Linked DNA regions of Struthio camelus. Each later gene encodes a partner of the first gene's protein in a complex. Links are inferred from orthologs where the notes say so. Each region holds a gene or a part of one and is shown on either strand. Other genes may lie near its edges.

Region 1 (15,160 bases):
TGTAGGCCACATTAAAAAATTAAGACATGTAGACCACTGAAGGGAGATCCTCTTGTTCCTACTTCATAGTTACGCATACATGGAAGGCCATGAAGAAACTCACCTAGACCTCTCCTTCTCCGAAGCAGTACATCAGAGAGTAGCCAGCAATATGCCAACACTAGCACTGTGAGACACCAGTTACTTTCAGCAGCAAAATGAATCACACTTAGTGGCCAGCACCAAATCCTGTCAGAAATATCCTTTCATCTTCAAAATTTATGTATGTACTCCCTAACTGCATGGTACAGTTGCCACCAGCATGAGGGTAAACCTTCTTGTACCCTCCATATCCCCCAAAGAGAGGGCGTGAGATTTGTCTTGTAACATATCATTATATCTCATTCACTTTATTGGACCAAAAGAATTTGGATTTACTTTCAGAGTTATTTCCAGCCTTTCTTAAAAAGAAACAAAAAACAAAGAAGACCCACACACTCTCCTACATTTTCTTAACATTTCCTCTCCCACTAGACCTTTCAAATACCGACAGGGAAAGCCTCATGCCTACTTTGCAGTTCACCAAAATTAAGCGAATAACACCTCCTGCTGGCATCTGTCATTTAAAATAAGATTTATAAGTGGCAGCAGAAATCACTTTCATAATGTTTACTAGAATATGAACAGCTTGAGCAGGCAGATCCCCCAAATTTACTGTTCATATTAAGTGAGAGCTGTCATGAAAGCTAGAAACTCATTTTTATAAGCTGTATTTGAAAGCCTGATAACATAGGAATAAAATACAAACTGGACCATTCCATATACTTGTGTTGAGACTATATTCAGGTGTGAAAAGGTACAACTGCTCCAAGATGGGTTATTACAGTTCTTTTTGTCTCGTAATTTAATTGTACAAAGTACCTCTCAGAAATTCCTCCAATACATCTTCCATCCATAGTGCTTATTAATATTGCTTCCATCTTCTGTAGGTACCTGCCCTGCCCCAGATGTACTAAACCCATTTTTGCTCTTTACACATTTGAATGCAAATACTTGGGTTTGTTTCCATAAACTCAGCTCCTTCCTTATTATTTATCATTTCACTGTGTATTTAGTGAACATGATCTTTTCCAATATTTGAAGCCAAAGTTAGGGGAAAATCAACAGTAGTGACAACCATTTAAAAGTGAAGATGACCAAACGTAAAAACAAGCCATTTTCAGTTATATGAATAACTAGCTATTAACACTTCTGGCTAATATCCATCCTTTACCTAAGTCATAATATGGGTTCCCTTCCAGAAGGAAAAAGCAAACCACCACATACGTCACATCTACTCCTCTCCTTGCTTTTCAATCAGTTAACTTTGTAAGGAGAAATAAGTGATGCCTTCAGGAGCAAATTCAACATGTTTGAGTACAGAAAAATGAAACTACTGAGATTGTTGCACCCACTACAGAAGCTAGTAGGAACAGCTAATCTTAACTTTTTAGACACAGTACTGCAACTCCAAGATCTTATCTATTTTTTAATTAAAATACTCTACAAAGATCAGTATCTCCTGAACAGCAGCTTTAATGAGTTTTTTTTTATTATTATTGAAATAGTTGAAAAATATGATTAAATTTTTATTGATCTTTTTGGAAAGAGGTAAGTGTGCATTTCTATAACAAAAATCTACAATAGATTCAAGTACTCTCCCTTATTTGTCAAAAGACGTTTGCATTTATATACCCTGGGCTAATCAAGGTTGTCCATTACTCTGCATTAGGTTAATCTTTGCTAACTGAAAGCTGATTTCAACTCTGAGTAAAACATGCATCCTTGTTGCACTTATGTTATTTTTCCCGTTAAACAGGGAAGAGACGTTTTATATTAAAATAGTTCAAACACTTAAAGACATCACTGAGGTCATGTTTCAGTGGTAAAGAATGCTCAAGTGCCATTAATATTTAGTCTACCTTAATGGAAGAAATTTGAGTTAGAAGATACTTCAGGTTATCTTGTCCACCCCCATGTCAAGGGAGACTTGCTTGCTACGGCATGTTACTGACTGCTTTGCCGAATCCATTTTGAATTGGTTAGTTAATACAGGTCCCAGCTCTTCCTAAAATCTTAAATGCTGGCAAATTTAAGTCTTTTGCGGTGGCTTCAATAGATCCAATCTACATTTATTCTTTCTTAATACCTCCATCTTATAAAAAAACCTGCAAGCTGTTATGTTTCTCTTATTTCCTGAATAATCTTGAACAGATAAAAAAAAGGCTAATTGCTAGATTTTCCTAACTGTGAGCTACAACACATTTACAAGCTTCTCAGTTGCCTGTTAAGCTTCCACAACATGACTTAGAGGTTCTCAGTTGTAATAGCTGACAGAAGTTCTCTACACTGTGGTCCAGTGAAAGAATCACTTCCTAAATGAGATTTTAACATTAAATAAGAGTATTTGAATTACTAGAATCACTAACAATTATTAGCTGATTGGATATTATAAGAATAGGGATCCTTTGCTTATATCGTTAGCTCTAGGTAAAATAACTTTATAAGAAACCAAAATGTATCATCCAATGCTAAACACACAACAGCAGCTACTTAATATGCAATAGTGAGTCACTGTATTTGTGCATACACACAGTACAGCCACGATCCACTTTAAAATTAGCTTTGACTTATATCATTTGAATTACTGACATCATAAGCAGTTATTTTTTTTCTAAATGAGGTAATGTTGCAGTTCAGCACTGAACTAGCAACATTGATTGGGAAAGCCTTCAAGTGTTTGTAAATAACACAGGAACCCTATTTCTTGAGCCCAAATAACCCCTGTCTAGGTGAAAGCTTTCAATGACTAATGAATAAAAAGAGCAGCAATACCCTAAACAACTCAACAACACTGTTCCAGACCAGCAATTTCACCTTTTTTTAAAGTGTACGAGTATTTTTCAGATTGAATTCAGTGACCACTTTTTCCACTGACACTAAAAGAGTTTCCATTCATTATGCCATAAGTATTAAAGTTTAGTACATTGGAAGCTATTCCTGCCAAAAGAGTCAATGGTTCAAAGATACACAAGTTTACTCCTGTCGGAATTTGCTATTGTGATGTTTGGAACAAACCCTTGAAAAGCTCCAACAGTCAAACAAGAAGTCACACGGGCTATAGCTACAGCCATATATTAAGACACTAAGAGGAACCAAGGAGTTGGCAAGCTATCTAATCAAAATCTTTATCATCTAAAAATGCAATTTCGACTCAAATTCAGTAGGACTGACAAGCATTTTAAAGATGCAGCACCTTTTGGACAGGATGCGGTTTTCCAGAGATACACTATACTCCTCCTGCCAACAAGTAAGCCAAGGCTGTAAATTGCTAATGATGCAAGACACATTTCACAGGTACACTTGGCTTGGGACTTCATTTCCAAGAAGGGACATGTTCCAGGACATGACTTGAATATTCACTCAGCTAGCTACCCCTTAACTCACTGTTAAGCCAGATATCACTTTAAATACATTGTTAGAATGACAGTTTAAAACAAGGCATTAGGTATTAACAGTTACTTTTAACCAGTATGCGAGAAAAAAGCCCCACAAAATTAAGTTAAGAATTTAAGAATGCTGCATGTAATAGCTATTTAAGACTTTTTGATTTCGGTGATGGGGAGTTTATAACGACAAGAAAAAAGCCCCTGAAATTTTGTTACTGTGTACCTTTCTTCCCCCCCCCCCCCCCTTCTCATGCAAGGAGGAAAAAATGAAGTGAAACAAAAAAGAAACATTTAAATATTAGCAACAATTTTTGTTGCACGTGGAACACAAATAGCACTATTTAGACTCCTATCGCAGCTGTGCAAATTAATCACTCATCAGGCTGAAAAATCTGGGACAGACTCACCCTTAACTCCCGATTTTCAAGAGCTTTTATGAATTCAGGCTTACATCGCTAGCCACTCCAAGAATCGTCACTTACATTGCTAGAAGTTACATAAAACGAAATGCCTCCACAGATCAGCGAGACCAGCTTTATCGGTTAGGTGTCCGCGAGACCTCCTTTCCCGAAATCCTAAATTCTTCCTTCCGAACCGCTTCTACCCACAGCCAAGGAGAAGGAGCCGCGCTGCAGCCAGCCGGGGCAGCCTTCAGTGCAGCCTCCGCGCTCGCCTCTTCCGCACGCCCCCCCCCCACCCCTCCCGCGCCCGCCCCGTCGGGAAACACACTCCAGCGTGAATAACGAGCGCTCTCTTCTGCAACTGGCAGAAACCATCCCCCGGTGCCCGGGCCCGCTCACGTGGTGCGGCATCCAAAGGTTATATACACCATTTGGCGGCGAGTGACACCGCCAGCGCCGCGGCCGGCCAGGCGCTGCCCTGAGCGCCGGCGGCAGCCCCGCGCCCGCCCCAGGCTCCCTCCTCCCCGGGAGCCGCAGCATCCCTCCACCGCGCTAGCGAGCCGACCGGCAGCCCCCAGTCAGCCCCGCTCAGCCTGCTCCGACGGGCAGCAGCGCACGCCTCGGCCGCCGCCAAAATCAACCGCCCCAGGGAGGCGGCGGCAGCGGTGATGATGATGCCGGGCTGCCGGCGCCGCGCGGCAGCGGCTGCCTCAGCCGGCGGCGAGCGGGGGCTCAGCACCACCTTCATCCGCGGTGTGTGCGCGCCGGGCCGGGGCTCCGCGGGGCCGCGGCGTGCCAGCTCGCCCCGCCGCCGCCGGGGGGGGGGGGGGGGCAGCGCTCGGCGGGAGGCAGAGCCGCGCATCGGCTGCCCTCAAGGTCACGCCGCGCCCGGCTACGCGGCGGCCAGGTGCGCGCTCCGGTTACCTCCGCGGGGAGGACAAAAAGCGGAGAGCCGCCCGCCCGCCCGCCCGCTCGGCGCGGTACAGCGAGCCCCGCCGCAGGGGCGCCCCCCATGCGCCAACCGCGCCGCCGGTGCTGTGCGGCGCAGCGCCGCCCCCCCCCCCCCTCCGGGGGCGCGCCGGCAGCGGCCATGGCCGGCAGCCCCCCGGCGGGCAGCGGCCCCACCGCCGCCTGCACCTGCCGGCGCGCCGCTGCCCGGCCGGCGGCGAAGCGGCGCCCCGAGCCCCGCCGCCGCCGCCGCGCTGCTTACCTCGACGCCGCCGCTTGCAGCCGCCAGCCCGGGGGGGGGCCGCGATGAGGCGCCCGGGAACCTGCCGCCGCCGCCCGCTCGCTCGCTCGCATAAGGTCCCCGCGCTGCCCGCCCTGCCCACGGCCGGCCCCGCCGCGCCGCCCCCGCCCTGCGGCCGGGGAGGAGGGAGGGAGGGAGGGAGGGACGAGGGGGTGGGGGAGCGGCGACCGAATTGGGGAGGGGAGCGGCGGGGAAGGGGCCGCGGGTGAAGGAGGAGGCGGAAGGAGCGGGGGGGGGGGTCACGAACCGCCCGCCCCGCCCCCGCCGCCTCAGCGGGCAGGAACGGCGACTCGCCCTCCCGCCTCACGGGCGCTCCCGCCGCGCCTCAGCGCCCGCCGCTCCCGCCGCACGCACCGGGCAGCGCCGAGCAGCCCCAGCCCCACCGAGTAACCGCTACAGGAGCCGGGCGCCGCAGGGCGGAGCGAGCCGCCGCCGCCACCGCCGCGATCACTCACTTGTTCGCTCCCCGCCGCGCAGCCCCCTCCTCTCCTCTGCCCGCAACCGCCGGTGCCCGCCGCCCCCTCACCGCCTGCCTGCCGTGCCCCGGCCACGTGACAGGGCCCCCCGCCCGGCGGAGGAAAGGGGGGTCCCGACGTGCGGCGTCTTCAATGGGGGAGGGGGAGGGGCCTGCGAGAGGCACGGCGCCGCGGGGGGCGGGGCCCGCGCCGCCCGCCCGCCCCCCGCCGCCGCCGCCGCCACTGGCGGGCGGGCGGCTGACGCGCTTGTTTCCATGACGTCGGTGGGCAGGGCCGCGGCGTTTGATGGAGCCCGGCGGGCTTCGGGGGTCGGTGACTTTGCCACGAGCGGCTCCCGCGGGGGCGGCGGCCGGGGCCGGGGCGGGTGGGCTGCGCCCCTCCCCGCCCGCCAATTCCCGGGGCTCCGCGGCGGGGCCGGCGGCTGCCCTTGCGCCGGGGGCGGTGGCGGCGGCGGCGGCGGGAGGGGCCGGAGTCCCGCGGGGGGAGGGGGCGGGCCGCCGGCGGTACGCGGCGAGCCCCGGGGGGGCGGGGCGCCGCCGGGGGCGGGGGCCGCGGCCATCCCGAGGGCGGCGGGTGGGGGGCGGGGCCGCGCGCGGCCGCCCTAACGGTCCGCCGGGCCCGCCCGCGCGCGGTCCTCCCCCGCCCCGGGGGGGCGCGCGCGCCGCCGGCGGCCGTTGAGGCGTCGTTGCCGGCGGCCGTTGGGGCGCTGCCGCGGAGCGGAGCGGCAGCGCCGTGGCGGAGGGGAGTGCCGGCGGCCCCGCGGCGGGGTAGGTGTGGGTCGGCACCGCGGCCTCCCCCTCTCGCCCCCGGCGGGTGTGCGGTGCTGTCTTCAGAGGGGGGCTGAGGGACGGCGTTAAGCCCCAGATTGGTGACTGTGGAGACAGCGTTTCCTGGGGCGGGGTGGGGGTGGGGAGGAACCAAGACCTTCCTCCCTACCGGTTTATTCATCGTTTATTAAGAGTGAAAATGAGAACCACAGCGTTTTCTAGGTGAAGATCTCAGTACAATTGCGAAAATGAAGCAGTCATCAGCGAGGCTTGCCTCAGTGAGATAGATGTTATGTTCCTTGTTAAATGGGGCCAGCTGAGGTTCAGAGAAGGTAAAGGTTAAACGACAGAAGTGAGTGTGTTGCTCTGAGTGCTGTGGGGTGTGGGATCATCAGGTTTAGCCTCTTCAGGCTTACCTCTCTCTGGGATCACTAGCAGCTTTTGCAGAGGAAATGGAAGCGTACAGAAGCTGCACGTGTTCAGCACCTTTCTGTCCCAAGCCCGAGGACTCTTAGGTTGGACAAAGAAAAATTAACGAGGGTGTCAACATCTGGGCTCAAGTGAGTTGTCAGGATACACTGGAAGTTAATAACAGGTCCGGGAATGGAATTGAGAAAAAAAAAAAAAACCCTTCAAGTCTTTTTTTTCAATGCGGTAAATCAGTCTCTTCAATGAAAAATCCTTGTACACAAAACATACATAATTCTATAATCTTTTTGTTTTAGAGTTTTATTTTGACATACTGTCAACCTCTCTGTTGACCATTTCACTAGAATGCATGGACCAGCTGTGCTATAGGCTGTCAAATTCTTTTAGCCTACCATAAATGCTATTTCTCCATTGTTAGTGTTCAAACCCCACTGCTTTTAGAGTCAATGCTGTGTAAAAGGAACGAAGCTCATGTATCATTATTGTTATAGATCTGAGATGTTACAGAGAATAGGGAGTTAAAGCAACAGATTGAAGTCAGTACGAAACAGCCCACAAGGACTGGCAAATAAATAAATTATCCTAACTACATTATTATCACGGCTTGCTTGAGCTTCATAGTCTCTTTCTTACCTGTATCCCTGTTACATTTTTCTCTTTGTTCAAGTGAGGCAATCAAAAGAGGCTGTGAGCAGTAATTGGCTCCTGCCCGTTTTGGAAGTTGCTAAAAATACTACCTTACCTTTGCATATCTGAAGGTCAAATGAAAAATCAAAATACCGAGGTAGACAAATCCTGCAGACGAATCTATTGAGGTTCTTTCTTGCATTTCTTCCCAGAAGGGGACTATAAAACTATCTGAACACATATCAAACAAATTCTCCTACATTCTACCTGCAATTTAGCACTCGTATCTGCACTGATCACTGTAAGCTTCCCTAGGCACTTGAAAATTACATTTCCAGCTTTATTAGACTGGCAGATGTGTTCTGCACAGTTCTGTCATATCTCCTAGCTCTCAGGCAGACAAAATTAGCTTTGGTTAAGCTAAGAAGAAGATGATATGTTTAAGGCATTGCAATCTGAGTACATGCCTGTACCTGCTTCATTTTGTCTTTGGGGAAGGTAGTCAGTTTGTGCTTCAGTCTTTCATTTATCAAATGTGAATAATTTGTTTCTATTTCCTTTGTGAGAAGGAAGCAGGGATAGAAGTGATAGGTACCAAAATAATTTTGTGAGATACTGTTGTAGCAGTTCATTAAGTGGATATGTTTTTCATAGGAAGGCACAAAATAGTTACTATTTAATGTTCCTCTTACACGAATATACCAGGACAACATAAAAACATGCAGCACAAATTGAGTGAAAGTAAGAAGGAAAAACTCCTTGTAGCTCTAGAGAGTATCCTATGTATTCAAAAAGTTTTTCAGATTAATCCTCCAGCTACAATATTCTTTATGATTTTCGTGAGAAAATAGGCACTCCTCCTATTTCTAAAGGTTAGGCACATCTGATCGAGTAACAAAACCTTCCATGTAATTTAGGTCACCAATCATACAAATCAAGCAAAAATAAAATGCACAAAGGAATATTTCTGGAAATATTTCATTTCATTTTTGAGGAAACATTACCATTTCAGGAAAATTCAGTGTGGTGTGCAGACAGTTTGGAAAGGCCAGATTTGACAAATAATGACAATAGCTCTAACTCATTTTGTGACCAACACTGTAGTGACGGAAGTACCATAGATTTTTACAGAAGCAGAAAATGTGTCACAGAGAATTTAAGTGGGTTGCCTGCATCTGATCCATTTACTATGAGGCTTTTAGCATAAAGAGCATGAATTTGAGTGTTTGGATCATTACAATATTTGGTCAAAAGGGAGTAAGGTGATCAAGGCCTGAGTGACCACCTTCACCATTCTGTATGAACTAGGGGCCTTTCAGCAAACCTGCGTAATGGGCTTGACCCAAGAAGAGAAAATAGCACAGTCTTTTCCTAGTTTGTGCATGGATCAAAACCTCACTAGATTTTGAAACTGGTTTCCTGACTGTGCTGCGAGTGCTAATCCTGTTCAAACTGAGCCAATATAGGAGTAAGTGGAATCAAGGCTTTTTTAAAGTTGATGAAACTGCAGAGCGTGCAGCAAGTGTGAAAAGTTAGGAGAATTTTTGCATGCAAACATGAAGAAACGAATGGCCAAAGATTCCACCAGTTTTGCATGAGAAACTTTTACCAGACTAGCTACATATCTTTCAGTCGACTTTCTCAGTGCAGTACTACTCTGTTCACACGCACTCTACACAGACCATTCTAGGCAAGAGTCCTTTTCCTCCTGTGCTCCTGGCTGGAGCTCTACAGCAACTTTCTGCAATGTCGTTAAGGTGGTGTCTTATGTGACAATATCCTGTATCATAACAGGTTGATCAGTATGTTGACTAAAAGACTGAACAATCTGACTTTGCAGACAATTGACCTCTCTTTTTGTCTTGTAGATGTCATCGTAGCCAGATTGCACTGTCATCCACCCATTCAGTTTAACCAAGGCCCTTGTGAAACAAAGCGAGCTCACCTAATTTATCTTGAAATCAAATTTACCTTTCCCTTAGGAAATAAACTTATCCATAAACATCCACAGATTTATCAGCTCAAAATTCTTTTCTTGACTGTTCAGGAACTCAGGATTTATGCATAGTATGTTTCCATCTGTGAATACATATGATAATCTAAGATATTTGAAATTTCGTTCTCACTTTCATTTCTGTCACAAAACTTTTTTTTAACTATTTTTCTGTTATATTCTTTCACTGTGATAATGCACAGTCAGGAGGGTGAGAAATAAAAAAGAAGTAAGATAAAGAAAGGAACAAGAGAAAGGAATGATTGTTACAAATCACCTTTTTTTCATTTATGTCATACTTGAAATCCACCGAAAATACATACTGGACTTCATATGCTCACTAACTGTTTGTTCTTTTCATGTTCTTTTCAGGCGCTGCCACGGCACACTGTTATTACAGCCCCAGACCAGATAAAAGAGTGCAAAGATACTTCGTGAACAATGGCACAAAGTCTACATTCAAAGAAAAAAATAGCAAAGTATAAAATCCTGGAACTGACAGAATCTGACTCTGTAAGGACTTGGATCAGGCATGAGAGAAACAAGAAAAAGAGAGCAGGGTAGGATAACTATACTTTACACTGCTATAAAGAGCAGAAAATAGCATGTTTGGGAGGCTTCTCAGGAGAAATAGATGAAATAAAAGTAAGTACCACTGCAATGAGGCAGCACTACGATGGCTGCCTCTTAAAAAGTGAGAAATATCTGGTGAATAATATTTGCTATTACTCTGCAAATAGTGGGCTAGTACAGCCCAAAGTGACATACCATGAGCACCCAACTACTCCTACTCCAATGTCTTCCAATGTGACACTTCCCTATTTTTGGAGTGTTCCTCTTTTACTTTCTTCCCCTATAGCTGTTTAGCCTTTTTACTTAATACTTGAATTCCAAAAGGATGGCTAAAAGTCCCAAGCAAGGCTATTTTGGAGGCAATCAGGTCCAGTTCACTAGAAGAGTTTGTTAAAAATAGCACTGCTGTTGCCCATCTCCAAAGAACTGCTGTTAGCCGTCATCCATCTCTGTGCCTCTCTCTGGTATGGATATGTATTTGTCAGGCAGCACAGCTATCACCCCAAGATTCATAATGTGGGAATATCCAGTATACTTACTAAGGTACAAAAGTACTTTTCGGGGGGTTGTGGTATGTAGAATTGGGCAATAAAATACAAAAGGCCAGTTTGTTTGGATTATATTACTGTGGATGACTTCAGATATGTTGCTTTTTGAGACTTCTTAATGCTACACTTCTGTGGAGAAGTTTGTGATCTTACCTTTAAGAGCATATAGTCAGCTAATGTTAATTTGTGAAGCTGCATTGATTTCACTGATTTTGTGGGCCTGTGCCAATTCATGCTGACTGAAAATGTGGTTCATAAAATTTTACGTTGTGATACATTGCTCTGTGATCAAATTATAAGTATTTTGTTTATTTTTTCCTTCCTCCCCTCCCTCTCTAAAAGATAAAAAACATCAAGGACAACCAAGCTTTCTTTCGCTGAGGCTATCAACATCACTGACCAGCCTAAATCACACTACTGACTCACAGAAATTAGTGTTAGCAAGAGTAAATATAGCCCCCTCCCCTCTCTCTTCAGTGCTAACTAATTGTCTTGAGTGGGACAGTAAATTGTCCGTTACTGATGCTACTTCAAAGTCCTTTGGATAAGAAAATAGATAATTCAGTTAAGCCTTAGGTTCCTTAAGCAAACATTAACATTTCTGCCCCTTGGCGATTGTTCAAGATGGTTTTGAAACATTTAAGAGTCATTAGAGCTAATAGCTCCCATTCTGAATTTCCTTCAAGGAAGAATATCAGAAAAAAATGCACTACCTTATTCCCACTCCCTTAGTCAAGAATTAATCATTCAAGTGATAAACAATGATGGTAACATACTTGAATAAATTATTGGTCGTCTTTGTTGATCAGATGCAGATCTAAATCATCTTGGCTGTTTTTAAGATACTAAAGATATAACAAGAAAAAAATCCCAGCTACCTAAAGTAGCATTTTTAAATATTAATAATGACCTATTTTACATGCACAGAGTTTAAAACTCTGGGCTCAGTTGTGCAAGCTTTATTCAGGAATAATTATTTCTTGATTAGGAATTGACGATCTGAAGATTATCTATATAAAGATCTAAATTTGTGTAGCTGTGGAAATGTGTGGATATGCAATCTATAGTATTAAAACATTAATGTAAATCATTATATATAGTAGTATAGAGTATAGAAAAGGTATTACATAAAATGCTTATACCTGTACGTATATAAAATCAAGTATACTTAGAGTGCTTAAGCTTGGATTATGGTCAGCGAAAAGAAGAAAATGTCAACTGGAGAATTGTCTCTATTATCACGTAATACTACAACTATAAATATTCAGGTTAGTAGGAACAATCTTTTTAATATAATTTAGAATGTTCCTGTAAGGTTATTAGCTAGTAAAAATGAAAAAAATTAAAATACTTCTTGTGACATTGACTGTATTCCTATTATGTATTAGCAGAAGAGATCAATAGGATTTTCCTCTGCCTAAGTTTCCTCTTGTCAGTTACATAACATGGCAGCCATGTATTGAACCAGCAGAGTTTGAATATATCATGTTGTGGACATATCTAGTAATAGGACTGCTGCAGGTTGTTTTGAGGCTATATCCTGTTATGCGGCAGTAAAGACAGTTTGGTTTAGGACAGAACTGGATTAAAAGATATAAAAAAACCCTTGTACATAACAGCAGGGCAAACACTGACAACTTTATTATCTTTGTTTCTGAGTGACTTCAGAGAGAGTTGTGCATACTTAGTAATTGCTAAAACTAACACCTCTGTTTCTAAAAATACCTTGGATTAATTAAAGGAGTTTAAAAATTAGTCTTTATAAGGGACTTTTAGATCTACTCAGCTCTAGATATAGATGTAAATCTTAAGTATCTTCATATTTTGAGTTTTTCTCAGCTTGGTGATAAAAATGCCAAGTCTGTTCCGCTGTTATAATCAGTTTCTAGAGTCTTTCAATTTCAAGCCCTCTACCCCTAGCAATGGCTTTCAAACTGGAGGCGGTTATGATAGGTTTCAAATAGCCTACCAAGGTAACATGAAGGGCCCAAAGCTGATCTGTGGGACTGTATTTAGTAGTATGTTCTGCTAAACTCCTAATGTATGAATTTTCCTTGACAGCATATGTAATGATTTGTAAAAATCTCAAGGGCTGGTGATGATCCACTGATCTGAACCATCTGAGAACCACTGCCCTAGCATATTTGTGCCATTGTGTGTGGGTGACTTGAATGAAGCTCAGCTAGAATCATCTCTCTCGGTCCTCTACTCTGGACTAAGAATAATGCAGGAGAGGCTTTTGTTTTATAAGGGGGATGGTACTAGGATCCTAGTGTTCGTAGTTCTCTGCTGTGTGTAGGGAAAAGTGCAGAGGGGACCCAGTCAAGGATTCAGTCAGATACTGTAGTTTCAGGTACGCTCAGATCAGATGTTTGGGATCCTCTAGAGATCTTCTTTTAGGATTTTCCTAGCCTTATCGTGAAGGCTGAACCACACGCATTCTTCCACCCGTCTTTGTTCCTTTGCAAAACTCCCTTTGTCTCTTCTTCTTTTATGTACTCTGTCCTTCACTTTTCTTTCAGTTTAGCTTATTTTTTTCCTCAATAACACCTTTCCCACAATCCCTGCCAAGCAAAACAAAACCCAAGAACATCTTGTGGAACTAATGCATCAGATGATTAACTTGCACAGTTTGTGCTGTTGGTGTGTGATATTCCTCCTCTGCTCTCTGATGGTCTTGTCAGTAGGGTGGGATTGATTTGCCCTAATATAAGGCATCTAAAATGAGCACATCTAAATCTATGCTAGTAATCCTAGGCTCCTTTTATAGTCAACAGTGAGAAACTGGCACCTCCAGTAAGGCAAAATATCATCCTAAGATTAATGTCTAGGGTGATTCTGCAGTTGTCTGTTTTTCTCCATCAATTGCGAAGGGAAACGAGGGTGAGTAGTAGGGATTTAAATGTCTAACTCTTAGAAGGTTAAAAATGGGTGACTGAGGCAAACAGCTCTTTCAGACTACATGTTTTTCTGGACTCTCTTCATCTGTGTGCCCTTGCTTTAAGTGGCCACTGAACTGGACAGTAGATACCAAGAAGCCAAAAATAGGAAAACACTACCTTAAGAGGACCGGCTTTTAAGGCAATCCACTGCTAGTGATTTTTAATTAGTGCATGTGTTTCTCTAATTCACACCGTAATTTCTACTAACAACTTCCGGTAATTAAAGCACTGAAACTTGAACTGAGGTGAATAGTCCTTTTGAAATGTATCACGTGAACTTAAGTCGCCACATGAATGAAGTACCTGAGGTTCCAGTGGAACGATCTGTAAGGAAAGGGATATTCACATTTGGAAGGCATGTGGGTTCTGATTCTTGGCTTGAATTCCACTGAGTTGGTAGTTAGTGGTCCTGGTTGACTCAATTTAGACTAATCTTTTATGAGATTGTGTACTTTTTTGCTAGATCAGCCAGACATGGAGAATAAAATGAGTGTGGATCCCATACAGACTGTAATGCATGGAGTTACTTAAGATTTGAGGTGCAGTGTGGAATTGCCAAGCACTACCGTACCCTATTTTATTGATAGTGAAAAGACTTTTGTACTTCTAAAATTGAAGAAAATAAGAATCAGTGATACAGAGACTTATGCTCTGACCCTTCTAATCCCTATATATTTGTCTGCCTCTAGCCTTATGTGGTTTAATTTAACTCTGTGATGCTCTGCCTAAGTGCAGTGAAATATTAGTGCCCAGAGAAGTGTCCTGAGAATCTTCTTCAAAAATGCAATGTATATATGTGTAAATAAATACATAAGTGTACATACATATAAAGAAAACTTGCTTTAAAAGGAAACTGTAATAAAAAATATGTCCAGCTAAAACTCCAAACTAGTATTGCACAAAATAATAAAACCTTAAAAATAAAAATAACAGTGAAATTTCTATACATTCTGTTGGCATTAGAAAATCCAGCCTATTCCTTAACGTAAAATGATCCTTTCCTTATTACTGTTTATTTCCTTATGCATACCCCATCAATTTTCATTTTGCTAAGAAGACTAGCAAAAGTATCCATTAAAAAAAAAAAAAAACGTTAGCAGTACGCTATCCAATAGTTTTATGTGAGAACCATGGAAAACTTTGTTCTTTTTTTTAAAAGCAAACAGAACTCAAATGGAAAGCAATGAATGTAAAACTGTAAAAAATGAAACCAGTAAGAGTTAATTAAACCCTCTGAAACCAGAAAACAGACAGGGTTGTAAAGAGAAGTTTTTTTCTGGTCTTTTCCTTTTTTCTAAATTAGACCGAAAACTACATTAAATATTTAATTTACAGACAACTAAAACTAAGATAAAGTTCCTGCCTTAAATATAGAATGCCAGGAAACAGAGCTACAACATTGCTCTATCCCATTCTGCAGCACTTTTGGCATGTGGGGTTGTTCATTGGTGAAAGACTATGGTAATATTGAGACAGGTAAGAACAAAGATAAGTTTTAGCCTTCCCTCAAAATTTTGTGTGTTGGGGTATGGGATCTTTTTTTTTACTATCTTACTGTAATATTCATATTTTCTCCTTCAATATGTTTCACCTATTCTTACTTTATTTTTTGTACTTATGATTGAGTACGCAAAAGTACATAGAATGATGTGAGGAGAAGTAGTGAATGTAGTGTACATCTGGTGCCT
Region 2 (16,171 bases), on another chromosome or scaffold:
TTCAACTATAGTCTAAAACAATTAAAAGGTTTTTACATTCACAGGTTGAACCTGTTAAGCTAGTTTATTTAACTATTGCAGAGGTTTTCTAACATAAACTAGGTCAAAAAAATGTAGACGCTATCAGCCAGCATCATATCTATTTGTGTGTGTGTGCTTTTTTTTTTTTTTTTTTTTTAATCACTCAAGTATGGTTTGGTTTTGTTTTTTTAAAATAACGCCTGCTGTATGCCTTCTCGGAATTATTTCAAACTGCCTTTGCTCTGCTATCATGTCCTTTGGGAGCTTATTGCACTGACCAACTCATTGTCAAACTCTTTCTAGCTTTTTTCTAGTTCATTTTTTTCTTTCTTAGTTCCAAACATGTTCTTTTTGTCACAGTCTTACCAACCTCTCAGGATTAAGTTCTTTTCCAGTTATGCTACTATTGTAGCATAACAGATGTGTAGAATTACGGACTCACGGGATCTTTTCAAGTCTTCCCTTTGCTAGTCTAGAATATTCTCCTTCCTTTTATTTTTCTCATGCTTTCAATATGCTTCTTGGAGAATGCACGTAGTTCAGGTTTCCAGAGAAGTGCATCTGCTCTACGGAGAACCACTGCGATCCCTACACATCCTCAAACCCACACGGCACTGTTCACAAAACAGTGCAGTTGCAGGCAACAAGCTTAGGAGTACTTTGTCTTAATGGATTCATTAGTGCAATATTTTAAAACATTTGATGTAAAACAAGCCTATACAAGTTTAAAGGATTCTAAAAGTTGCTTTTTTCCTTATTCAAGGCAGAAAAATAAGATCATAATGTCCTGTTCTATACAGACTCGCCTCAAAAGGCAAATTTGTTTAATTAGTTAGCTGCTGTCAATCTGTTTTGGATGCTATCGCTTGGAAAATGTGTACTTTTAAAGTCACACCCAAACTGTCTTTTATTTGTGTATATGTATATATATACACACACACACACGTGTGTGTACACACACACACATATATAAAGGCTTCCGATCTGTTATCGGTAGTTAACAGTCTATAAAAACATTGCATCCCCAAGCCTTCTCTGGAGGCTCCATCATTAGATCAGCACCTCACTCCCACTTTATAGCTCTCACTCAAAATATTTCCAATTCTGAATTATGGCAGAGCTTTAAAGCTTCTGACGCCATATGATGAAGAACCTTTCACAGCTTCAAAAGCTATTGTCCTTTTTCCTTGAATGAGTTTGCGTCAGCACAGAAGTTGTGACTTCAACCACACAGATGACCCAGAAAAGCTTCAAGCTTATCAACACAGAATAACTTTTTAGGAGTCTACAGTATTTATCTTACTAGGGGGGAAAACACTCTCAAGTTTTGACACAAATAAAGATATTCAGTCAAGGCTGAAATTATACTTCACTGTCTTAAAAGATCCAGTCTAAATACATTTAAAAAAAGACAATGCAGTACAAGACCATAAAAGAGTATTTAACTCCTAGAGTAAAATTCCATTTAACATATCAAGTAAGATTTTTGAAGGCACATAAAATGTGATAATTATGTGAAACATACTTAAGTAACTGATCTAATTTTTAATATAGACTTTTGATAATTTCTGAGTTAGGTTTTAACAGCCATTCTACCCTCCCCCAACTTTATGCAAGTCCAGTTTCATATTTGCGCATTAACCCCACCACCACAAAAAAAACGCAAGTCACCACAATCTTTCTGAAATACAAATAAGAACAGCTCCTTTAAAAGTCTTACCAAATACACGAAGGCCATCCTCAAGCATCTAATGGACTGGACTAGTCCACTGCGTATAGAATCAGATTCTAAATCTGCACATCTAGTTTTTCGCTTCGAGACAGAAGCAGCGGCCTAATCACAAACGGGTTCCTGCCAACAACCGCTGAACAGCATTGACATGCTTACAAGGCTGAGGTGAACAGAAAAGGCTGAAAGCAGCTTCTACCATTACATTTGCCATTCAGAGCAGAAGTATTATAGTGATAAACACTTGGTCTTGGGGAAGAGCTCTAAGAACACATTAGAGATCACTTGGGAAAGCTAGATGCTGTCAAGTTGCTGGGTTTAATTAAAGTCATCCTACAGCACTTGTGGGTGAACAGAAAAGGGCAGAGACCACCTATGCTTAAAATGGAAAGACCGTGAAATCGTGGATCAGTCAATTCAATACCACTCTCTGGAAAGACAACAGAACGAGTCTACTCGTAAGCGCTCAAAAAAGCAGAAGGGTCGGGGGTGGAACCAGAGCTTTATTACCATGTCAGTGGTTTGCTACAGCTTGACCACGACAATCCAGTCTCCTGCTTAAAAAGCCAATCAAAAACAAAAACCACCAAGGTCACTCCAGAAAAGGAATAGATATATTTTTCCTAATTTTGGTAATGCTTTTAATATTGCCTCATACAAGAGTCTCACAACCAAAAATAAGACCTCTATCTCTTAAAACACACACACGGTACATGAAGCTACGTTATAACAAGCAAACAAGTAGATGAAAAACAGAGCAATAAGGCCAATGATGGGCTAGAAGCAAGCTGAAGTAGCGGTGGGTGCTCAAGAAAAGAGTAAGATTTTAGAACAATTTTGACAACTGGGAGAAAACATCAGAAGTAGATAAGATGCCTTTTTAATAAGAACATATAAGAACTACTTGGTTTAGGCAGCAATAGAACGTAAAGTAGCAGCTCTGCACAGTAAGATCTGACCACCATAAGGGATCCCACTGGACGCGAGTCAACAACGTTATATCGCACAAAAGCATTTGTATTATGATGCAAACAGGAACGCCATATGCAAGACACATTAAGTGATCCTTCCACTCTGCTGAACTTTGGTCTGGTCCCAACTGGAATTGTGTCCAGTTTTACATATCACACTCCAAGAAACGTGACTGGAGAAAATCCACAGAAAAGCAACAGGAATGGTCAGGAAGAACGACCATGATAAGTAACCTGGAGGAGCACTGAAAGTAGCTGCTGATGACAAGGAAATACACTGCTCCCCATAGCTGTGCAGCTTAGAATAAGGAATACAAAGCCTAAAACGATAGCAAAGCAGGTTTAGGTTAGATTTACAGAAGAACTTTCCAGCTAACAGATAAGCAGAAACAGATTAGCTAACTTTAATCTTAACAGATCTGTAAAGGGGAGCTGGAGCACCTCCAACACTAGAAGTTAAGAACAGTACACACACACAGTTGCTCTGGCTTTACAACAGAAGGACTCCTCACAGGCTAGCACTGCCCCTTACAATGCTGTGTTTTACAATTGCCTCCTCTAAAGTAGAACTTGCAGCGAGAGAAGCAGCTCACTGTGAGGGAGACAACGCTCCTTAATCCTGAACGTAACAGCAAGTAGTCTCCGTAAAGTATCATACTGTAAGGATGCGAAAAAGCTCTGAGCAAACGTCACCCTTTAAAACTAGTTTCATTGAGTTTGTGGGTTTGAATTGGTTTTTGCCAGAATTAAAAATATTGTTTGAGATATTAGTACTAGTGCTTATTCCTGCCTAACCTGACAGCAGAGATCTGTTAGAATTCAGTGCAATTTTCAAGTGTAGACACATTAGTCATGTTGCTTGTATTTAAGCTTCCTATGGGGGAGTTGGAGGAGGAAGAAGAAAAGAAACAGTGGGAAAGAGAAGAGAACTTTGAACATTTTCCTCCGTGCTCAGCCCACACTCAGTCTCCATAAATGCGGCATGAAACTGTTCCTAAGTTTTACCTAGGGACCATTAAAATCATTTGTCAGAGGATACAATCAGTGCAAAATGGATGAGAATCAGCAGTCAGAAGAAGCATTACAAGCATAAAAGGAAGGTTTTCTGCTTGCTTTTTTTAAAGGGAGACAACTACACCTCGATTTTATGGTCACGTCTGTACTGGTTTCTGCCATGAGAAAAGCCACATCATGTTTTTAGCCAGCTAGATCCCTTTCACTCACCCAACCAGAGGATGAGAAGAGCAGATGCAACACAAGTGCCAGCTAACTTCTTTATTTGTCCTTACGTCTAGCTTTGAATATCCTACGTAGCTTTACTAAATCAGCATTCACAACTTAAAAAAATATGATGTTGAAGAACTCACTCCTCCACACAAAACGTGATCGAGTTTGTTTTCAAATGCGCTTTGCCAGACCAGAGCTCTGAAAAGGGAAGCACTAACTTTAAAAATTAACAGTGAATCAGCTCACACGTCGGTGTACTGGAGAAGCACTGGGGATTTAACAGAGTCAGTCCAAGCATCTATTTTAGACCTGAGTAAAAATACAGCCATGCTCCTTTAAATCCAAACACTCTAAGGTGAAAGTATTAGTACACTGAAGTCTTTAGTTTTAAAGAAGCAGCTGGAGAGGCAAATATATTGCTATGGTTAAAAAACAGCAACCAAAGAAAGGCTTGTCATTTAACAACAAGTACCCAGGTCAAGCATCATTCCATCAGGAGGATACCATCTGGTCTGAAGTGCTAAAGTAATTTTCCAACAAAACACAGTTGGAAGCTACAGTTTTACACTGATCTTCTTGGCAGACTGACTTTTTCCAGCTGTTCCTCCTCATGCTTCCTCATCTTTCTTCTGTCCCTCCTTTCTGTCACCTCATCTAAGCTACGCTCTGCATACAAGTGACAAACTAGCACGCATCAGAAGTGCAGCCTTGCAGAACCTGACAAGTTTCTCAGAAGACTCCTTGGGAAAAGTTTTAATTTCTGACATGTAAATTTGTTCTGTGATCTTCAGGTGCTCATGTAGAAGCTCTAAAAAGAATCCATACAAACGTCAAAAAACCAACTTACAGTTTTAGTAGGCTTAAATCTGTAGGTCATTTTAATTACAAATATTCTTAACTACATTAATTAAAAAAATCACTAGCAATTCAACAGTTATCTCTTATCAGAAACAGAAAAGCCAGGATTCCACAGCACATAATTTTTGGTGAAGTGAGTGGTTTCCTCAAGCACTGTGACCTCTCCTGCAGTTTCAACAGGTACGTTACTGTTCATTTTTCATCCTAAGCTGGCATAGTGTTACTCTGCATTCCAAAAACACTTTGGAGTGTCACCTTTCACTACAGCGATGGCTACGTATCAATAACAGATTGTGCAACTCTTGGGTGTACGCTCTGGGATCCTTCGAAGAGCATACCCGTCAGTATTTATGCAGGGATTTTTAACCAAGGTGTCACTAACGTATTCAGACATACCTATTCAAAGAACACTATTTTTCAAATGACTCGCAAGAAGTATACACAGTTTACTAAATGGCTGTACACATCCTTTACACCAAAGCAAAAAGGAATTGTTTTGCCTTGGTAAGCGTCTCCTTGGCCACTGCTGGCCAAAAGAAAACAGCTCCTCTACGACTGGGCCTACAGTCTTTATATTTCTTTTCATATTCAAGCTGGAGCAGCGCTTCAACTAGCGGCAATAAACCCTCTTTCAGAAGGATTTCCCACCTTTCACTTTGCTTTACAAAAATTTAAGCGCTCTACACCTTTTCAAGAAGGCTTCCACACACCTATGCGCATTTCCTTCTAGCTCAGCACAGAAGCTCAGTCTCTGCTACCATTTAATCGCTAGGATGACCCTAGCTAACCAAATGAAAACGAACGAGCTTTCAGACTACATCTGGGGTCTCCAGTCTTACCTCATGCTAACAGTTGGTACTGCTTGGCTAGCTTCACATCAGCAATGGGAGTCATGATTAACGCACAGAAAGGCTAAAGACTTCCATCTACCCCCCAAAATTTATTCCATTTTTGACCTTCAGACCTGTAATTACTGTCAAACAACAAATGTTTGCACTGCCTATCAGCCGGCTACTTAGAATTTCTATACCAACTGCCAGCATTTGACACCCTGCTGTTCCTGGACACGCTGCTGTTCCTGCGTAGAGTTAGCAAGCTTCGGGCACACGACCCACTTAGCTCGTGTTTCCGAAGACTGCTCACCTCCCTTCACCCAAATGAAATTGGAAACATAACATCGGCAGATGAACTCTGCCAAGATGGTGCTCAGATAGCAGAACTATCACAGGAACCAGGCAGCATCTCTGCAACACAGAACCAGACTTCCTCCGCAGCACCATCCAACTAGCGCGTTCCTGGGAGCTCACAGGACTGACATGCCCAGTTCCCACTGAACGTCCCCGGAATTTGCCCAGACTCCTTTAGGCTCCTCAGAAAGTCCCTGGTCTTGCAGGAAGCCGACAGTTTTCATTCATGTAGCGTGAATGAACCTACTCAAGCTGCTTCTATTTGGTTAACATAAAGCTCAGTTCTGGTTCGCACTGCACATCCCAAGGCAATAATTCATATTTTGGATCTTCAGGCCATTATTACTCTAACCTATGTCTGCATTACAATCGTCAAACACACCGAAAGCCTCCTGGTTATTCTAGAGCATGCAGTCCATGGAGCTGCAATGCAAAATTCTCACCTCAAGAGAAGGTAACTGCTAGGTCTATATAGCACCTCCAGAGCAGAAAGGAAGGAGGGAGAAAGGAGCAACGATGAAAACTTGTGTTCCACCGTTATAGTAAGGAGGTATTGTTCCCACCTAGACAGGTTTTCCCAGGGCACGTAAATCGGTCTCTTGTGAGGTCAGTATCCCTGACCTTTATAGCCGTTACGTGCCGAAGGGCTCCCTTTGGCGCTTCTACCGTGATGCTGCACAAGAAAGCACCCGTCAGAAAGACTGCGCTTCCGCGCTTCTGGAGCGCCCAGGACTGACTTTACAATGCACTCTGGCCTCAGGATCACATGCTAAGACACGCATTTTTATAAGCTCCGCAGGATCTTCCTTGCGAGTGCTAGGATCGCACTCATTTAGGCCAGCCTCTTGGCCCCGCTTCATTCTGCCACTAATTGTCATGCACTTGGCTGCAAACTCATCAGGGAGGAGGTCTGCTGGGCTAGATTTAGCCCATGCTGTCCTATAAGGAACAGAGCAGGGTGGGTTTCCTCCTTCTGCGGTCCTATCAGAGGATCTCCTTAGTTGCTAAGGAACTACAATTTTATTGCATTATAAATCATTTAAAGCCGCTCAGCAGATGCAGATTTAGTAGGCGGGAAGAGATGTTCCATCTTATGCGAGGCCCCGGGCAGGCCGCCGCTCGGAGCGCCGGGCGCCTCCCCGGCCCCCGAGGAGGGACGAGCCCCGCCGCCCCCTCTCCCCGCAGCCGCCCCTTCCCCGAGGGCCCCGCTCCCCCCCCCCCCAAACAACGCGGGAGCCTCCTGAACGGCCGGCTCCGAGCGGGGGGGACCGGCGCGCCGCACCGGCCGGGCCCGCCGAGGTGGGCGGGGGGGGAGGCGGCCCGAGCACCACCGCCCCCGGGCCCGCCGGCCCCTCCGCCCGGGCCACCGCCGCGCCCAGCGCGCCGCCCTGCCGCCGCCGCTTGACCCTCCGCCCCCGCCGTAGCCGCCCCCCCTTAGCAACCAGCCGCCCCCCTAGCAACGTGTCCCCCCCACCCCAGCGCGGCCCGCTCGCCCGCCCCCCGCCGCCGCCGCCCGCCCTCACCGCTCTGCGCCGCGGCGGGTCCCGGGAGGAGGCTGGCCGTGACCAGCAGCAGCGAGAGCGCCACGGGGAGCGGCCCGGAGCCCGGCATCCTCCTGTGTTGGGCGGCAGGCAGGCAGGCAGGCCGGCCGGCGCCGCGGGGGCGAGGCGGGCGGGCGGGGGAGGCACCGGGGAGCGAGGCGGCTCCGGCTCCGTCCTTCTGCCTCCGACCTCCTACCGCAGCGCCAGCTCTCGCGACGCGGCCGCCGGCTCTCGCGAGACTTGGCGGGCGGGGGCGGGGCGGCGGCGGCACGTGACGGGGCGGGGCGGGGCCGGGCGGGCGCCGCCGCGGGGCTCTGAGGGGCGGTGAGGGGCGGTGAGGGGCGGTGAGGGGTCGGGCGGTGAGGGGTCGGGCGGTGAGGGGTCGGGCGGGCCCCGCTGCGCTGCGCTGCCCGCCGCGGGGAGCCCGTTTGTGGCCGGGCCCCGTGGGCGGCCGTCGCAGCAGCACGGCAGACCGCTCTCTCCGCAGAAATACCCAGCGGCTGGGTGTTTTGCCAGGGCAGGGCGCTGAGGCCCAGGCCGCGGAGGAGCTTGCCCCGGGCGGGCAGTAGAGTCGGGCGCAGGCCAAGCGGGAACCGGCCGCCCGTTGGCTGCGCCCACCTCTAGGCTCGCCCGATTTGGGCAGGTCCCCTAAGTCCCCTCTTCGTTCCCCTGGCTGCAAAAGGCAGACAGGCCTGCGCTCTGGTTGCCTCTGTACCGCTCCGGCGAGCCCAGGCGGTTGTAAACCCGGTTTAGCTGGCCGTTTAGGCCGGATTGCTGACAGCTCTGAGTCACAGGACGGCGCAAACGGTTGGAGCGCGCTGCCGAACGCCAACCCGTCGCTCTAGCAAGCGTCCGAGGCGGGGAGAGACGAGATTCGCAGAAGACTGTGGGAGGCACCAGCACAGAAGTGGAAAATCCCTCGAGAACGCGTTTTCTGCTTTCTGCTGGGAACACCGCTCCCATCTAGAAATCCCTACAGGATCAGACTCCTGCGGTAGTTGTCCAAGGAGCGTCTAATATTCCTTATCCTCTCCTCTAACCGGAGAAGCGGCTCTGGGAGCGTGCTAGCACCGCTAGAAGCTGTATTGCCCTTTGCAGGGAAACCTTCCCTGCCATTAAATCCCGTTAAAATAATGTCTTAATTCTCTGCTGCTCTCTACCTTGTCTGCAGACATCCCTGCCCTGAAGGCCGCGTCAGTGAACCCGCAACGCGGTGGACTGGGGAAGAGCATGCAGCACCTGCTCACCTCCGTGGTAGTAGCCTCCAGAAGGGTAACAGCTTCTCACCCTGTTTGACCAGGGCGCAGCCTGCACCGGCTGCACAAATTGTGCCTTCCCCTCCCTCTTCCCTAGCAGGCTCCTGGTGGCTGCTTGGCTTTACCTCCCTGATCGTTCTCCCAGGCCTGGCCTGGTTATTCTCTGCGGATCCTTAGCGAGCAGAATCCGTGTCCTTTTAGTGTCCGTGTGTCTCAGAAACCAGACTGAAAAGGAGAAGCTGACACACCTTTTCCATGAAAACCCCGCTACTCAGTTGAGGCCGATGAAATTGCTGCTTGAGTGCTTCAGGACTTTGGCGATGGCCATGGGCTTACCGCTGCAGCTTCGAGTGGCTGAGGTCACACAGGAGACGTGGCTAGGCATGCGTTTAGTGCTTTATGTAGTCAGGGTTGTCCCTAGCTCTCCAAGGATGCCTCGGTACTAAATTTGATCCGCGTCAGATATTCCACTGTGCCATGTATCCTGCGCTTGGGAAGTGCCATGGTGTGCTTCCATGACTCAGTGCTCTTGCCAGCTGAATCATCTGTGACACTACTATTTGTTTTCTTGCCATGGTGCAGAAACATCCTCTTTTTCGCCTCATTTATGATGCTGTGGAACATTTCTGACAGTAGCACTTGAAAACCAGAAGGAATAGGCAAGAAGAACCAGAAAGCAAGGCTTCACGTGATGGTGTCCTTCCTTCTGCTTTTGGCCTGCTATTTTGCTTGCCAAACGTTAGCACCAGTGGATTTTGCTGTAACTCTCATTTTTGCAAACACCCACTCAGTATTAGGCCTTACCTACACGCGAATGTTTTCCAAGTTTGGAACTAGTTAGTGATGCACTTGCCTCTGAGCATGGTTTGGATCTGCACAGTAATACTTGTTTCGTAACCATGGTAGCTCGCAATGAGTCATCCTGCCAGAGTCTTGGGCCGAAGTTAGCAGGCTTTTTTTTTCCCGTTACCGGTTCAGCACACTGCAGTTTTGCTAGATCTTCTCTGCGCAATTGCATAACCCATCTGCCAGGTTTCTCTGGCTCTGCCCTGGGGGCAATCCCCAGATGCACTGCCCCGCTTTCTGCTGGTTTCGCCCCGGTGCACGTGCCTGCCAGGCGCTGTGACCAGCTGGAGCGCTGATCCCTGGCGCCGGGGCTTCCCTCGAAGGCTCTGCTAGGAGATGGTTACCCAGAGCCGTTAATGAAGAAGTGCAGACTCAGCTCGCCTGCGGGCTATGGTTGATACAGAGCTCCTGCCAATGCACGTGAGGAACCGAAGCGGAGGATTACCCTGGCCTGCCACAGAGGAGGGCCAGCGACGGACCCAATCTGAAGCCTGCTGTTGTCTTCAAGAGTTTTTTGAGGGATTTCAATGGGGTTAATACCAGGCCTGTAGTGTGCACGGGCTATATATAGATAGTAAGATGTGTTCTGCCATACGCTGCTGCCGTGGCTGGTAAGGAATAAAAACCTGCTCTTTTCATCTGCAAAAGCCTTTCCTCTTACAACAGATCGTACTTATAGTGAAGTTGCTGGGTAGAAAAACAGGATTTGCCAATCCTGGACCCACTGTAATATTTACTGAGCATAATGGCTTGATAGTGAGGAAAGAACAGTTTTTATTACAAATTCCACCAGACTGAATCTTTGAAGTGTGGGCCTTATGGGCGACGATTTTGCTGGTGTGGGTTCAGATCCCAGCGCTGGTGATTCCTGGCCTTGTGAGTGGGTGGGGAAGTTGGACATGTCAAAACTTCCAAATACTGTAACTCAAAATCCCTTTATTTCCTCCCCCTCAGTCAAAGCCCATCTTTTCACCACCTGGGATGCCTTCATTTGATTATTCTCAGGTCTTCAGCAAAAGTGGCGTAGAATATTTCACACTTAAAAACAAGCAAAGAAGAAGAAAATTCAGGAAACAGTTTCAGTTATTTCTGCATTGTAGAGCAGCAGAGGCATCGCCCCTATGTGTGCATCGTCTTTGAGCCCGTCTTCTTGCAACTCTATCTGGTTAACAGACACCTGTGTATTTATTTCTGTGTATTTATTGATATAGTTTGGCACCTGAAGAAAGCTTTGCCGCTAGAGATCTCACTTGCAGTCACCTTCTTTTGAATCTGTTACTGAAAAGTTGAAAACGTAGGGTAGAGTGTGAAACGTTGCGTGACATCTAGCAGGGAACTTAGCTATTGCAGGGGTCTTACAGGGCTGAGAAATGCTGAATAACATTGGTTAATACTTTGATGGTGCCAAGCTAGTGAAAACACAGATCTGTACTCAAATCAGCTTGTAGCCAGACACACATACGGTGTACTTGCAAGCCAAAATGCCTCTGCACGCTAAGACTGCATTGCTAAATGCGTGATCGAGATATATGTTGTGTTTGTTTTGCATGTGCGGGGGAGAGAGACAGATGAGTTAACAAACACGTAATGCAACACACACACATTACGTGAGGCTAGCCAGACTCCGATTCGAGCTGCTGGGCTCCTCGGCCTCAGCGGCCGTTGCTTGCCTTGCAGAGTGCTGGAGGGGTGCCGCTCTGCAGCTCGCCGTCCCGCTCATCTCCTGGTGGGTCAACAGAGGTGGCTCTCCCACTCGCCTTACAGCCACAGGGGAACGACTCCTGACGGGACGCGGGGGAAGAACAGCTCGGGGTTGTGCAAAACTTGTAACGGGATGCTTAGGAGAAGGACCCAGGGCAGGGAAAGGCAGGCACCAAGGTGGTTTGGGGAGGAAAAAGCATGAGAAAGTAAAAGGGAAAAGGGGATAAAAAGGGCCAGTCGTGTGTAAACGGGGCTGCCAGTACGCTTGTCTGGCCTGCAGCTGATCACCACAGTCTTACTACATTTTTTGTTAAACTCCATTTATAACTATTTTTCTGAGTGAGGGGCTCGCTCTTCCTCGTGTGTGTGTCTGTTTGGAGGTCTAAGCACCAGCCCTGGGAGTCAGACCACAAGTCCCAGAACCCGCGTGTCTGGGGTGCCAGCAACTGGATCGAGTGTCTAAAACCAATCGCTAGAGGAATCCGCGTTGTATAGATTTTCCACCAACAGGATTTCGTCCTGATCAGCCAGAGAGAAGATGAGGAGGCTGTTGGTGCTGCTTCTGTTTGCATGAGTGCTGTGTTTTCTGTCTGTGTACGTATGTGCAGTACGCACGCGTGCCTGTTGGGACATCGCTGCTGGCTGGACCTGGGCACGCAGAGCTGCAGCAGCCTCCCCTGTGTCCGGCTACCAGCATTCAGCATCTCCTAACGCTGCCACGCCAAAAATCACAGCTAGGAAGTCAACGGGTGCTGGCTGATGGAAGTATTGGAGCTTGGAGGAAAAGCCAACAGGAAAAAAATAGGTGAGGGGGACAGGTTTTTGCAAAATTCATGGGGAAAGACAGAGGAGGAAGAGAAAATCCCAAAGGAAAGAAATTAAAAGGAGGAAAAAAGATTGAACTGGAAAAAGAAATGTTCTAAGGAATGAGGAGAATAAAAAAACTTGTAAAGGCAGAGAAATGGTGTTTCTGAAAGAGAGGAAAGACCCCAGGAAAGTAATTAGAGAAGATGGGTGTAGATGTGCTTTCCTCTTTTGGAGACAGTTAGCTTTACACGCGTCAACTCCACTCGGTGATGGCAGTTCGGTTATTTCGAGCAGCCCCCCTGTTCTCCTACATGTTCAAATGTTCCTGTCAGAACTGGTCAAAATGTTTTAACTTATTTTTTTTCCCGAGGAGAAATGTCTTTTCAAGCAAAACAAACATTGTGACAGAAAGTGTAGTTTTGGTCAAAATGATGTGCAATATAAACACAAAACTGCTCAAACAGGAAGCGTTGGCATGTTTGGATTGCCTTTGTTATACCAGAAAAACCCTGAACTGTCTCTTACCTCGACTTATTTTTCTGCAGGAAAGGGGGAAGAACAAGAAAAAAATAAAGTGCTTTTTTGCCTTCTCTCTGAACCAACCAAAAAAATTGTTTTTCTTAATTGCAAATTCTTCATCTGGTTCCTTCACACGGTAATGTTTTTCTTCCCCCGCCCAACTTTTGGTTAAACTGAGTCCAACAGCTTCATTTCCAGGAGCAAACGCACGCGAGCTGCCCCGGCCCTGCCATCCCGGCGAAGGCAGACTGCGCCCGGCCTCGCTCTCTCCCACCCCGGGTCACGGCGAGGGGCCGGGTGACGGGCAAGCAGGGGGGAAAACCCCAAACATCTGGAGCAATTTGCCTGAAGGTGAATTTGTGGATGATGCCGGCAAAACCAGACGGCAGGTGGCACCCATGGATTAGCGCAGGGCCGGCTGTGCGGCGGTGCGAGCCGGGCTGGGGCAGCTCCTGCAGCGAGGGCGGCCCGTTGCCCTCCGCATTGCCCAGACGTGCCGAGTGCCGCGGCATCTCCCTGGGAGGTAAAAAGCACGGGGGTGCCGGGGAGCTGCTCTCCATTGCAGCTCTCTGTCCTGCACGCGGTGACCTGGGGCACCTCATCCCTCAGGCTCTTCCCCAGAGCCATCTGTGATGTTTTTAAGCTGGAGATCAGGCTTGCCTGAGGTCCTTGCAATGAGCAAAGGGCACCAACCACTGATGGTGGAGGTCTCTCTACAAAGCAGGGGTGCTGTGTCAGGCAGCAGCGAGAGCTAGCTGCTCCCTGAGGGATGGGGAGCCAAGGGGGGACAACATGGGCAGCAGGGCAGGGGTCTTGCTGGCCACAGTCCAGCCCCACAGTACCTGAGCAAAGCAAACCAGGGGAGGCAGCCAGGGTCAGCCAAGAGTCCGCATCATCAGCCAGGTCCATAGCGATGAAACAGGTCCAAGGTCAAGCTGGGAAGCCAGCCTAGGAGTTGGGAGCCTGCAGCAGTAGGACCCACAGCAAAGCTGGAGACCAGCACTCTTACAGCAAAACTCAAGAAGAGACTAGAGGACCAGGCTGAGCTTAAATGGGCTCCTGAGCCATGGGCAGGGGGTGGGTGGGGGTCCCAGGGGAGGCAGCTCAGGGCTATTAATGCCCGTTAGCGCCCTCCGGGCGCTGGTGTTGCCGCAGAGGTGCTGAGCCCGCAGGCAGAGGCTGCCCAGGAGGCGAAGGGAGCCGCGCGGTCCCTCACCTCCTCGCCAGGGCTGGGTTTGGCCCTGCTCGCCGTCGGGCATCCCCTGGGCCTGCTGAGAAGGAGAGGACGGGCCAACCCTTGACTTGCGTCGCCCGCCGGGTGCCCTGCGCCGCGCAGCGCTTTGGGAAGCGTCGCCCGCGCGAGCGCAGCTCCGCGGGGCTGCGGCCGGGCTGCCGGCGAGGGCGGCGCTCCCGCTGCCCGCCGGCAGCCGCCTGCGCGGAGCCAGCCGGGCAGAAACGCCAATACGTTCGACTAAACGCCTGTAATTGCAGTGAAATGAAGCCAATAAGGCCTGGATCATGCGGAGGCCGACGGAGGGGACAGGCCGGGCAGGAGATCAGCCCAGAGCTCGCAAGCAGCCCGGCCCACGGCGGCCCAGCTCTCCTGCAGCGATGGGCGGCGGGCGACTGTACGTATCCCGCGTGCAAAGATACTGATTTTCAGCGTCCCCTGCAGGTCAGCCTTTACCAGCCAAATCAAGATTAAAGGTGTCAGCCTGCCTGTGCAGTGCGGTAAGCGATACACTTAGCTAAGCCTGCCCTCAGCTCAACCTCCAGCGTGCTGCAGGAGGTCAGATTAGATGTGTGGTTTTTCTAGCCTTAATATCCCCGGCTCCCGTTGCTTCCTCGGGCCGGGATCAGGCTTTCTGAGCTGGGGCTGCCTGCGCTGGCTTGGGGACGGAGGACGTCCCTCCCAGTCGCAGGTGCAAACTGGGTAAGAAACCTTTTTAAGAGCAATTCAGCGGGAACCAGCACCCTTCAGGGTGCAACAAGGCAGCAGCTCATAGAAAACGCGGAGTCAAAGGAGAGGGGGGAAGGACAGAGCCCGAGCCAGAGGATCTCCAGAGGAGAGGCCACGTTTACTTTAACTAGGGATGCAGCAGCTTAACAAAAGCAATTTGATGCAACCTGAGGCTCCCTTCTCCCTTGGGAACGTGATGCCAAAAATAAATAGTGACCATGAGGAAGGAGGGATTGTGGGTCCAGCCCCAAACTTTTCTAAGTGTCAGGGCCCTTAATGGCCTGAGCAGCCTCACCTGGGACCCCCCCCCACACCCTCTGCCCATTGCTCCAGGGCTCCATTTAAGCTCAGGCCTGGGGCCCTGGTCTGGGCTGTGCAGGTGAGCCTATGCCTGGTCCTGCCCTGCTGCTGGACTGGGCTTTGGCCCAGGAGCTGGATTGAGGGCTAGGACCATGCTGGGCTGTACTGTGACCTGCTGAGGCCTGGTGCTGGGCTAAATGGGGAGAAGAAGGCAGACTGGATGTCTCCCATGGGAGAGTTTTGGGATGTGGTGTATCGTAGGGGGAAAAGTCTGAGCTTCAGAGCTTTTCGCTCCTTAGACAAAAGCGAGCGAGGAAGCTGCTGCGGAGCGAGCTGGGAAAAGCTTCTGGATGCAAGTACCGAAAAGCAATTTCTGCAGAAGAGTTTTTTCAATAGGAGAAAACAAACAATAGGGGACAGCGGGGAGTGCCCATGGGCTCAGCTGAATATCTCTAGTATCTCACCTACAAAAGCTCTGCACAGTGTCAATAGGGGAGACTTAATTGCTGGCAAACATTACGGCTGGTACAGAATTAGAGGAGCCTCAGACGGAGCAGGGGCGACTCTTACAGCAGCCAACAGATGAGCCTTGTGAAAGGCGACTCTGATTCTTTGGGCATTTCTGGGTTAGGGTGCAGAAAAATTGCAACAAAAAGCAATTTTGCTTTAGTCAACCATACAACAAAGGCCTAACGTAGTGATGAGCAGAAGGTGTCAGAAGATAGGAAATTGTCAGCGTTGCTGGAGCTGAAAGATAAGATTGTACTCCTCAGAGCTATGCTGAAAGAGGATAAAGTATCCAGAGGGGCAATTCAGAAAGAAAATAATGTACAATTACAGTTGTTTGAATTACCCTTTTAGGGAAGTGTGGTGGGGAGGGGGGGAGCCAGTTCCAGTGGAAAGTCTGAAACCTCCTTCCCATGCGCTCTTAGAGAGCAGAACTAGTTTTTTTGGGGGGGTGGGAGAAGATGATAAACTGGCCAGGGCAGCCCCTAAGGAAGAGGAAAGGTGGTGTTGTTAAGAGGGACCCCACTGAAGTGGGAGGTGGCGGCTGCGCTCTGCTCAACGCCGATGGGCCCTCAGCTGAGATCTTGTGCCTGGTCTTGGATGTTGGACGTGACACGGTCAAACTGGAGAAAATCCAGAAGGAAACAGGAGAGAGCAGAGATTTTAAAAAAGCACAGCCTCCAGGGAAGGGTGAAGGGACTGCGGTGGTCTAGTCTAGAAAAGAGATGCCCGAAGAGGGAT

What was found.
Region 2: the proteins of ATP2B1 (region 1) and NPTN are in contact, whole or in part, in a cryo-EM structure (PDB 6A69), measured with the Homo sapiens proteins. The link is inferred for Struthio camelus from reciprocal best matches to the Homo sapiens genes ATP2B1 and NPTN. Residues at the interface, in NP_001353449.1 of Homo sapiens: Phe954, Asp955, Ile956, Asp957, Glu996, Arg997, Asn998, Val999, Glu1039, Gln1040, Leu1042, Trp1043, Ile1045, Phe1046, Met1049, Gly1050, Leu1052, Leu1053, Gln1056; in NP_036560.1 of Homo sapiens: Arg245, Ser246, Asn248, Arg332, Arg334, Pro339, Pro342, Phe343, Gly345, Ile346, Glu349, Ile350, Ile352, Leu353, Ile356, Ile357, Tyr360.

What each region holds. Positions count from the first base shown.
Region 1 is NC_090942.1:49,804,885-49,820,044, forward strand, and holds the start of ATP2B1 (plasma membrane calcium-transporting ATPase 1), read right to left. Parts: upstream 5,747-15,160; 5' UTR 5,573-5,746; exon of another isoform or gene 5,079-5,572; intron 4,240-5,078; exon of another isoform or gene 3,875-4,239; intron 1-3,874. UniProt on the Homo sapiens protein: Catalyzes the hydrolysis of ATP coupled with the transport of calcium from the cytoplasm to the extracellular space thereby maintaining intracellular calcium homeostasis.
Region 2 is NC_090953.1:24,105,706-24,121,876, reverse strand, and holds the start of NPTN (neuroplastin), read right to left. Parts: upstream 7,815-16,171; 5' UTR 7,605-7,814; coding exon 7,517-7,604; intron 1-7,516. UniProt on the Homo sapiens protein: Probable homophilic and heterophilic cell adhesion molecule involved in long term potentiation at hippocampal excitatory synapses through activation of p38MAPK. May also regulate neurite outgrowth by activating the FGFR1 signaling pathway.